2 linked regions of the Arabidopsis thaliana genome follow. The protein of the gene in region 1 interacts with the protein of each later gene in a pairwise test. Each region holds a gene or a part of one and is shown on either strand. Other genes may lie near its edges.

Region 1 (3,933 bases):
TTCTCCGACTATAAAAAAGAAGTAGAGGGTTTTAGGCTTTTCACGAATCTCTTCTCTCTTTTGTAGTGGCCTTGAAAAAAAGATTCAATCTCCTGTTGTGGTATGTTTCTTTTGATCCATCTTTCCTTTATGTTTTCTGTTTCAACTACTTCTTAGGGTTTATCATCACTTACGTTACGTATGTATTGTTTTATTCGTCTTCCTCTATGATATGTTATGTTCTTAGTTGAATTCCTTAATACTCATTGTGTGTTGCTTATCTCGTCCGCAGGTTTTCGAGTCTAAAAGCATGGCTTCTAAGAGGATTTCAAGGGAACTGAGGGATATGCAGAGACATCCTCCAGCAAACTGTAGCGCAGGTAATCTCCCTTTTCTTGGCTGATTTTGACTGATAGATTCACACTAAAAACACTTTTAGGGTTTGATATATGTCACACTTTTATTTCATCAATCCACATTATATGTTTCTGAGTTTTTTTTGGTAACGCTATGATTTGTTAGACTCTCTTTGGTTCTGTTATATATATGTACTCTGCATGAACCTTTTTTTTTTTTTTTTTTGTATTCGAGAAAACTCGTTAAACCTTTGCCTGGTACGATTAAGAATATCCAGAGGTTTAGCTTGCTTTTATTTCAAGTGTCTCCTTTTGTACTTCTTATTTATTCTGCCAATTTGTCTCTGTTCTATAAGAAGTATCACTTGATCATGCAGGTTTTATTGTCTTTTTCGATGAATAAATGGGTCTGATTGCAACGTCTTTCTTATAGGTCCTGTGGCTGAGGAGGACATATTCCATTGGCAAGCAACTATCATGGGACCGCATGACAGTCCGTATTCCGGAGGCGTATTTACGGTTTCTATTGATTTCTCTTCGGATTATCCTTTCAAGCCACCAAAGGTGTTGTGTTTTTTCAACACTAATTTAATCATCTGATGTGTAATGAAAATCTATGATCATCAGGCTTATTAGCGAGTGTACGATTTTGCAGGTGAATTTCAAGACTAAGGTGTACCACCCAAACATCGACAGCAAAGGAAGCATTTGCCTTGACATATTGAAAGAGCAATGGAGTCCTGCTCCTACCACATCCAAGGTTTGAGTTTTGTCTCTCTACTACTATTTTTTACCAAAGTCATGTTCTGTAAAAAAAAAACTAGTATATTGGTGAACTTTGTGCGAGTGATATTGATGGTGTGGAATTATATAGGTTTTGTTGTCGATTTGCTCGCTGCTGACTGACCCGAACCCAAATGATCCTCTTGTGCCGGAGATAGCTCATCTCTACAAGGTAGATAAATCAAAATACGAGTCAACTGCACAAAAATGGACACAGAAGTACGCGATGGGATGATAAGACAAAGGTGGTCTAGACAAGGAAAGGATGTCTTACTTGGCAATGGAAATAGAAAACTGAAGAAAAAACATTTACCTTTTCTGTTTTTTGGTTAGTTTTAGCAATGGCTGCTATGATGTGACGATCATAATCGAAAGACTTTTTTAGCTGCTCTTTTTTACTTGTCTTCAGTGCTCTGATCATATTCTTATTTTTCCAATTCCATTTTAATTGGAAACTGCTATTGCAACAACCTCGTAAATTTTTTTCTTTTTTAAACTATAGAATCGTTTTAAGTCTTTACCTAAATCAATAATCTTTAATCCTCTTTAGTATTTTTTTTTTGAGCATCAACTAAACACTATGGCAAAGTCTTCAACCGTATATAATAAAGTCAATTCTTTAATAAACAATGGTACTGCAGAATTTGAGTTGCCGACAGAAAAAAAAAAGTACCGCAAATCTAAAGAATCTGTTGAAAGTACGGTTAATAATAAACAAAACAGATTTTTTATTATTTACACGAATTGATAGCTAATAAAGAGTGAGAAAAAAAACAAAAAAAAAGTGGAATGGACAGAGAGGAGGAGGGTAGAGTGGTAAATTTAGTAAGAAGGGGAAATTGGGTCTGACGCGGTCATAATGGGAGGGAGCTTCTTCTCCAATCAACGATTCTTCTAATTTGGTCTCTTCCCTCAAACACGACGACGGCGTTTTCTTTCATTTCTTCTCTCGACAATCCCTAACATCACCAGAAGAACACAAACACAATTCTTTTTAGGTACAACACAAATTCTCTTCTTCCTTCTTCGCTCTAAAATTTTCAACACATATTTTTTATGATGCTTTTAAGCGTCTGATCGTATCCGATCTCTCTTAAAGGTCCGTTTTTGCCTTTTCAGATTCTCTTAATCCGTTTCTTCTTCTCAATTTTCGTTTGTTCGTTATTAATCCTTTTCGCAATTCGATTAGCTGAAAGTTTCCCCCTTTTTTCTCCAGGGAATTGCAAAAAAAAAATCGATTTTCTATTTTCAGGCAAATTCGAATTTCCAGGACATTCAAATGGGTAGCTGCGTCTCTAAGGTATTGAAAGAAACGAAACCCTTTTGTTTGGTTTTTGGTTTTTGTCGGATTCTGTATTTGTTGGTTATGCGATGATAATGTAAAAAAATCCCTTCTTGTTTTGCTACATAGGGTAAAGGAGACGATGATTCCGTCCATAACGTCGAGTTTTCCGGTGGCAATGTTCATCTGATTACAACAAAAGAGAGTTGGGATGACAAATTAGCTGAAGCTGATCGTGATGGCAAAATCGTAATTTTTCCCTTTTTGATATTTCTCTTCTCTCATGTAGTGTTGTGTTTGTTTCTCAATCTCATGCTAATATCTTCTCTTCTCTTGAAACAGGTGGTTGCAAACTTCAGTGCGACATGGTGTGGTCCGTGTAAAATTGTGGCACCATTTTTCATCGAGCTCTCAGAGAAACATTCTTCTCTTATGTTCCTTCTTGTAGATGTTGATGAACTCAGCGTAAGTAACTCATACTCTGTATACCCATACATAGTTTCCCTTGTCTCTCTTTCAAAATCTTAAAATATGTTTGTGTGACTTTGTGCAGGATTTTAGCTCATCATGGGACATTAAGGCGACACCAACCTTCTTCTTCCTAAAGAATGGACAACAAATAGGCAAGCTTGTTGGAGCAAACAAACCGGAGCTACAGAAGAAGGTTACTTCTATCATTGATTCTGTGCCTGAAAGTCCTCAACGGCCTTGACTCTTGACTCTCGCAGCCTTGTGTTCTGAGGTCTGTTCTTGTGTCTTCTTCTTGACGGTGATCAATTGTTGTAATATGCAAAAAAAAAGGTGTGAAAGGTCACCAAAAACACTTGAGTTAGATCATCCTGTTTGATATAATAATATGCATCTTTTTCATTCAAATTACTCATTATATTATTGAATCCTCGCAATCTAAGTGTGCAAAGCAATAAGGCTCTCTCTAATTTCATTTCTTCTTTATTATCATTCTTTCACTAATGAGGAAACAATCATCCAATGCCTTTGTTTCTTGATGACATTTTGAATTTCGTTGCCACCATTGATTTCTCCTTTGTATACTTTCACAAATCTCTCAAGCAGAGATCGGGGTGAGGAGCCTGAAGTGGCCTTATGGCTAGGGATAGGGCTTGGACCGTTCCTAAACCAGATAGAACCTTAACATTACCATGACTTGATGCTAAAATATAGACCAAAAGTAAAACATACATTTGCCATCGTTAAGTTAGTCTTCTTGTTATAGTTAGTTTTTTATTATTCTGTAATTAGTCTGAGTGGATGCTAAAATATTACAAATAATTCTTCTTCAAAACAAAACCGCGAGTGAGTGTATCGATCCTAACATCTAGAGAGAGCTTTCGGCAATGGATAAGCTGCCAAGAAGAAATGATATTTAGGTAAGTTTGGCGTTTATTCAAGTCTTCACAATTAAAGATTCAGAAGAACCACTTTGACTTTGACTATGACTTGAACTTTACTCAGAGTGAAACTCGAATAATAAAACGAATGGGTCAACGGTCAATATTAGCTGCTCTGGTTCAA
Region 2 (5,378 bases), 2.1 Mb from region 1:
ACATACGTGGTTCTCTCGATTTCTGATCCGCAAACGACACGGTATTATTTCACTTAGACTCCTCTGTTGCGCGATAATAGGATTTTGAGTGAAAGAAAATGTTTCCTTCTTCTTGTACTGTCGTTTTAAGCAATTTTTTCTTAATTTAACTAAACGTAATTATGGCAGAATAAGGTTCTAAGTGAAAACAAGAAATTGTGGTTTTGAAGTTTTTTTTGCCTACTATTATTCATATGAGTCATCATCCTTTTGTTAAATTATACTACCACTTTCTTTTTAGTTCTTAAAATTTTAAATAGTCAGCTCTAAAACTAATTTACTCATGCAAGTTGTTCTCTTCTTTTGATCAAAAGTCCACTTCTCCCTTTTTTTTTGGTTTAATACTCAAATTCTCCCTTTTTGTTTTATTTTCGTCTTTTTTTTTCTTTTTTTTTTAATATAGTACTATTTACGTAACCATAATTTGTCATCGGAAATAAAAAGATTAAGACAACTGAATTTTGTAATGTTTTGAAGATAATATTGCACATTTTGCTACATTAGTGTCAATCTCGTTTATTTTTCAACGAATCGTTAAAAAAAACAAATATAATAGTAAAAATCGATAATAGTAATCATCATAGCAGCAACATTTAAGAATAATAACATAACAAGTCTTTAGGTATATAAAACCCATATTCATAAAGTAGAAAACACCAATACAACTTGCTTGTGAAGGAGACGAACTCAAACTTCACAAGTCATTATTCATAAGAACTTAATAAGTTTTTTAAAAAGAAAGAACAAAAACAGAAAGCTCGAAAATAGTTATTAGGAAGAAAAATTCTGCTAGATTCCCTCGTCCTTCTCGTCCTCGCTGCTGCAGCTATTGTTGCTGCTCCATTCACACTTCAAGGTAGATCTAGGCGATCCACAGTACTTACCAAGCTTCTCAAACGTCTGATACATCACTGTTCCACTCTCTTCTCCTAGAGACTCAAATGTCCTCTCTCTGCACCCATAGTCTTCCAAGTCTACAGTAATCTCTGGCTTGTATGAGTTCGCTCCAACGCTCGAGTGCACAGCTACAGAGAATTGCTTGGGCTCGAAGCAAGAGAGAACCCTTGTCACCAGCTGGCTAAGGTCAAGGGTGTTGAAGTCGTAACCCACAGCTTCGAAGCTAGCGTAGCTAAACCCATCTTCAGGGGTCACATGGATCGTGGAGATTGCATCCCCTTCAATTGAGTTCATAGAGTAGCCGCAGGGCTCGAATTCAAAGTCGCAGATCTCAGACTTGGGAAGGATCTTTCTGATTCCAGAGTTATCAGTCATTGACCCAGTCTTGTCAGCTTCATCCTTGTAGAAGACAGCAGCTTTCTCTCTGTCCAGACCAGTCATGCACATCTCGAGAGTGTAGACATTGTTGTTGCAGTTGCTGGAGTCCTGGGCAGAGGCAGCATAGACATGCCATTTCTTAGTCTCATCATCATTGCCCATCAAGTAGGCTACGCTGTTCAAGCCCAGCTGAGTAAAGTGCCCATCAAGAACAGAGACTTCTTCAGAGAAGCTGCGGTGAGGAAAAGGCTGGCCTCCGGGGCAGAGGAAGGAGCCGCGAGTGTACTTCACAGACTTGACACTCAGAGAGAGCTCACCAGCCAGCTTTAGAAGTGGTGGGATAGAGAGGAGGAGCTTAGTGGTACCGCAAGTCTTGATGATGACTTTGTAGGGGTAGACAAAGAAGCTGGACTCAGAGAGTACGTAAGAGTCCAATTGATCGTTGGAGAGAGATGAAACGATCGTGCATGCAGCAGGTGTAAGAATTTCATCAAGCTGGGACTTGGTCAGAGCACGGAGTCCCAGTCCCTTGGAGTCTTGAAAGATGCTTGGCTCAAAGAAAGTCACCTCGAGCCGTTTCTCGTAACCTTCGAAACCGATTGCAGATAAGGCCATCTCGCCTTGTTGTGTGAGCGACAGGACTTGTAGTAGGAGGAGAGAACGATTGGATCCGGGAACCAGCAGAAAAGGAGCTTTGAAAGAAGAAAATTATAAACTGGAAAGTAAAGAAAGCTATAACTATATTATGAAGATCGGTGCACGCTGGTACTCAGGATGGCCTCTTGGAGCACTGCAACAAAAAGCAAAACATAGTTAAGAAGAGACTACATAATGGATACCATAGAGATTGAAGAAATCAGATATAGCATTATAGAGGAAACTCACGTTTGAGTAGACAGAAGATTTGAATTTCTTGATTCCACCGTTTGGACGAACGTCTTCAATGCTGTAACCGAGGGGAGCTTCGTAAAATAAGGAACTACTACTGCTGGACTTCTTTTTACCACCTTTCGACTCCATCATAATCTCATTCACGCTTTTCTGTATTAGACAAAACAAATCCAAAGGAAAAAGATCAGATGAAAAATAAAAATACCAGGTATTCAAAAGATCACACAACAATGTTTATCAGGACAATACGAATCTATAAACCATAAGAACCATTCAATTTTCAATTGTATATCTCGAATGATGAGTAGAAACCAATTATTATAGCAGATCCATAACTAAAAACAAAGCCTAAGACAATAGGCAATCATACATGTAACAAAACAAAAATCGAAACCAAGTCGTTGGTTTCAGGTATAAGTCAACCTAACCATGCATGCGAATATCAATCTCTTATACCAAAACCTAGGACGATAAGAACGATGTCTATCTAACCTAGCTAGGCTAATGAATCAATCGAAGAACGACGTCAATCGTGAGAGATACTTACATATATAAATGAAGATCGATAGATCAAGATCGCGAATTATGAACTCCTTGTTTCCAGAAACCCCTTTCTCCAGATATCAAACGAAACCCTCAAACCTGAAAAAAACCCAGAATTCACCGATTAAAAAACATTATCCTCAACGACGGAACAGATCTACAGAGAGAAAACGCAGATCTACAATTCAAAAAAGAGACTCACCAGATAGAGATGATTCAGAAAACCGCAAGACTTTCGAGAAAAGAGAAAACCCTAAATTTGAGAGAAACGATTAAGTTGATGATTTGGTAATGATGAAGCAATGAGATGCGTTCGTGAGGAGGAAAAGAAAGGTAGAAAGAGTGCCTTTATATAAGTACTAGGGTTATGCTCCCTGACAATTACGTATTTGACCTTATACCTTAGCGTTTATATCGCGTGAAGCTATCTGAGCCGTTGATTATTTCCAATTTGCCGTTCCGAGGTTTTTACCCAAATTACCCTTCAACCATTTACTTACGTTGGAATCGGTAGGTGCGAGCATCTCCATTCCTGACCGCAGATAAATAGCCCCAACTATTTTAACAAATTTGCTTTTTCCTTTCGCCGCAAGTAGAAATTATTTTAATTTTAGAGATTTGTTTCTTTATTATTTTTTGACATTATCTTTTGCGGAACAACAAAATATAAAACAGAGATGGGCCAACACGCTATATTAACCAATCAAAGATTGACACGTGTTTAGAAGATACGTGTGCCGTTGAAGCGGATAACTCGAGGCGAGCTGTCACGGTAGCGTAGCCGTGGGGCCTAAAAGAATCAAATTCTATTTCTCAAAGGCTCTCAACTGCTCCACTACATGACAAAATTGGGCCTCCCCGTGACTCACTCATGACTCATGTCCACCATTTGTCAAAAATCAACAAATAAAATGTATCAAAATTATAACCAATCACTATTGACCAGTGTGTAATTATTTATTCCAAATCTTTTTTGTTCAACCATAAGTCGTATTTAAAATTCTGAGATTTTGGACTAGTTTGGTACCATGAACCTTAAAGAATAAAAATACCTTTAAACAATATGATTTACTTTTCACATTAGTGATATCTCTCTAGGAACACTGGTCTCTCTCTCTATCTATACATCAGCTGGAGCATGCCTTCTTCTTTTCCACGAAATTGCTAAAAACAATCAGAGAGCTTCTGATAAGAAATTCCCACCCAACTTGACAATATGATGAAAAAAGAATATATTCCAACAAGAAAAGATAAGATGAGAAAACGAATTCGAATCCAACTTCTGGTTCAGGTTATTGCCAACCGGATTTCCTACGGTTGAACCGGTTTGGCATTAGTCTTCTGATACTCCAGTGTCAGTTCTTCCAAACGCTTTGATACCTGCCATGAACAAACAAAAAAACACAGTTGTTGATTATTCAAGAAAGCTGAGAGCGTTTTTCAAGTATACCATCAGATTTAACAACATCAATGCCCTCAATTAATCACTACAAGTAAGATTAAATTATCTATCAAGTTAATCATGTCGATATCGAGAATCTGATTCTTTCATATCTCTCCCGAGTTATCATGGAAATTTTACCAGAACATTAACTTTTCGAAAACGAAAGAGAACCTTGATAGAGTAAGCCAATGGAAGCAAGGTATCCGGATTCATTGCGTCTTCCGGGAAAGTTTTCAGAGCATGTATTAGTTTCTCAAACGGTAACTTTACCTGCAGAGTTAATTTTTTTAAAAAGGTTGGTTTTGCGAAATTAACTTACAGCTCGTAAATAAACCTCACTCACCAACTCATCTTGGCAATACTTGAGCAATGCTAAGCCCACTTTGAACACGATTTTAACACCCTTAAGAAACAATGACCATAGAAGATAACAGAATGAAACTTTGATCACAACAAACGTTAAAGAGATTTTAAGGATGCGCATTTAGTTACCTCGGAGAGAAACACATCCCATATCCGTAGAGCCAAAGGGAAAGGAAATGAGTATGAGAAGACGGTGATGAACCATTGACTTGCATACATACTCGGATTAATCATTTCTTGAGTAAAATGTTCTCCGAGCTTCGGAATTAGCTCTTTTACCAAGCTTTCTAACTGAAACAGGTATTGCTGTACAAGGGGAAGCCCTGCCTACATTACACACAAACCACTGACTCTTAAGAAATAGATGAAATGTGCGGCAAAGACATTACCTTGTTAAATCAAGGAACGAACTATACAGTAGCCTTTTAAATTGGATAGTTGATTCATAATCAATGACGAAAAACTCTCACCAGAATCGTTATAAACTTAATCTACAGAGAACTTTTTTAAAACGTGGTCACAAACTCTAACTCACGCAGAAAATACTCTTTTTGTTTCATTCAACTATACAACATTTTCTTGCAATCTTCTAATAATTAAAAGACTCACATGATACAGTCCTTCCATTGGAGCATGAACAGCTCCTTTAAGTAATGCAACTAATAACCAGAAGGCATCTTCTTCGCTCATATAGAGAAGCAACAAACCGGCTATAAACCCCATCCCCTGCAGATATTAGAATCATGAATCTTAGTCCCATACTAAAAGAAAGAAAAATGGGAAACAAGGGAAATATCTAGAGGATAGACCTGAACATATCCGA

What was found.
Region 2: the proteins of TH9 (region 1) and SAMDC interact in a two-hybrid assay, tested with the Arabidopsis thaliana proteins (one large-scale study listed by BioGRID).

Annotation. Positions count from the first base shown.
Region 1 is NC_003074.8:2,643,193-2,647,125, forward strand, and holds TH9 (thioredoxin H-type 9), read left to right. Parts: upstream 1-1,885; 5' UTR 1,886-2,217; exon of another isoform or gene 2,218-2,334; 5' UTR 2,335-2,397; coding exon 2,398-2,418; intron 2,419-2,529; coding exon 2,530-2,649; intron 2,650-2,742; coding exon 2,743-2,865; intron 2,866-2,953; coding exon 2,954-3,112; 3' UTR 3,113-3,412; downstream 3,413-3,933. Other genes in the region: UBC12 (ubiquitin-conjugating enzyme 12), read left to right, coding at 290-359, 769-899, 991-1,095, 1,210-1,353. UniProt on the Arabidopsis thaliana protein: Probable thiol-disulfide oxidoreductase that may play a role in intercellular communication due to its ability to move from cell to cell.
Region 2 is NC_003074.8:506,774-512,151, reverse strand, and holds SAMDC (S-adenosylmethionine decarboxylase), read right to left. Parts: upstream 3,267-5,378; 5' UTR 3,150-3,266; intron 3,057-3,149; exon of another isoform or gene 3,002-3,056; 5' UTR 2,951-3,001; exon of another isoform or gene 2,848-2,950; 5' UTR 2,753-2,847; intron 2,356-2,752; 5' UTR 2,200-2,355; intron 2,105-2,199; 5' UTR 1,930-2,104; coding exon 829-1,929; 3' UTR 690-828; downstream 1-689. Other genes in the region: AT3G02460 (Ypt/Rab-GAP domain of gyp1p superfamily protein), read right to left, coding at 4,060-4,128, 4,364-4,462, 4,536-4,595, 4,685-4,882, 5,165-5,281, 5,365-5,378. UniProt on the Arabidopsis thaliana protein: Essential for biosynthesis of the polyamines spermidine and spermine. Essential for polyamine homeostasis, and normal plant embryogenesis, growth and development.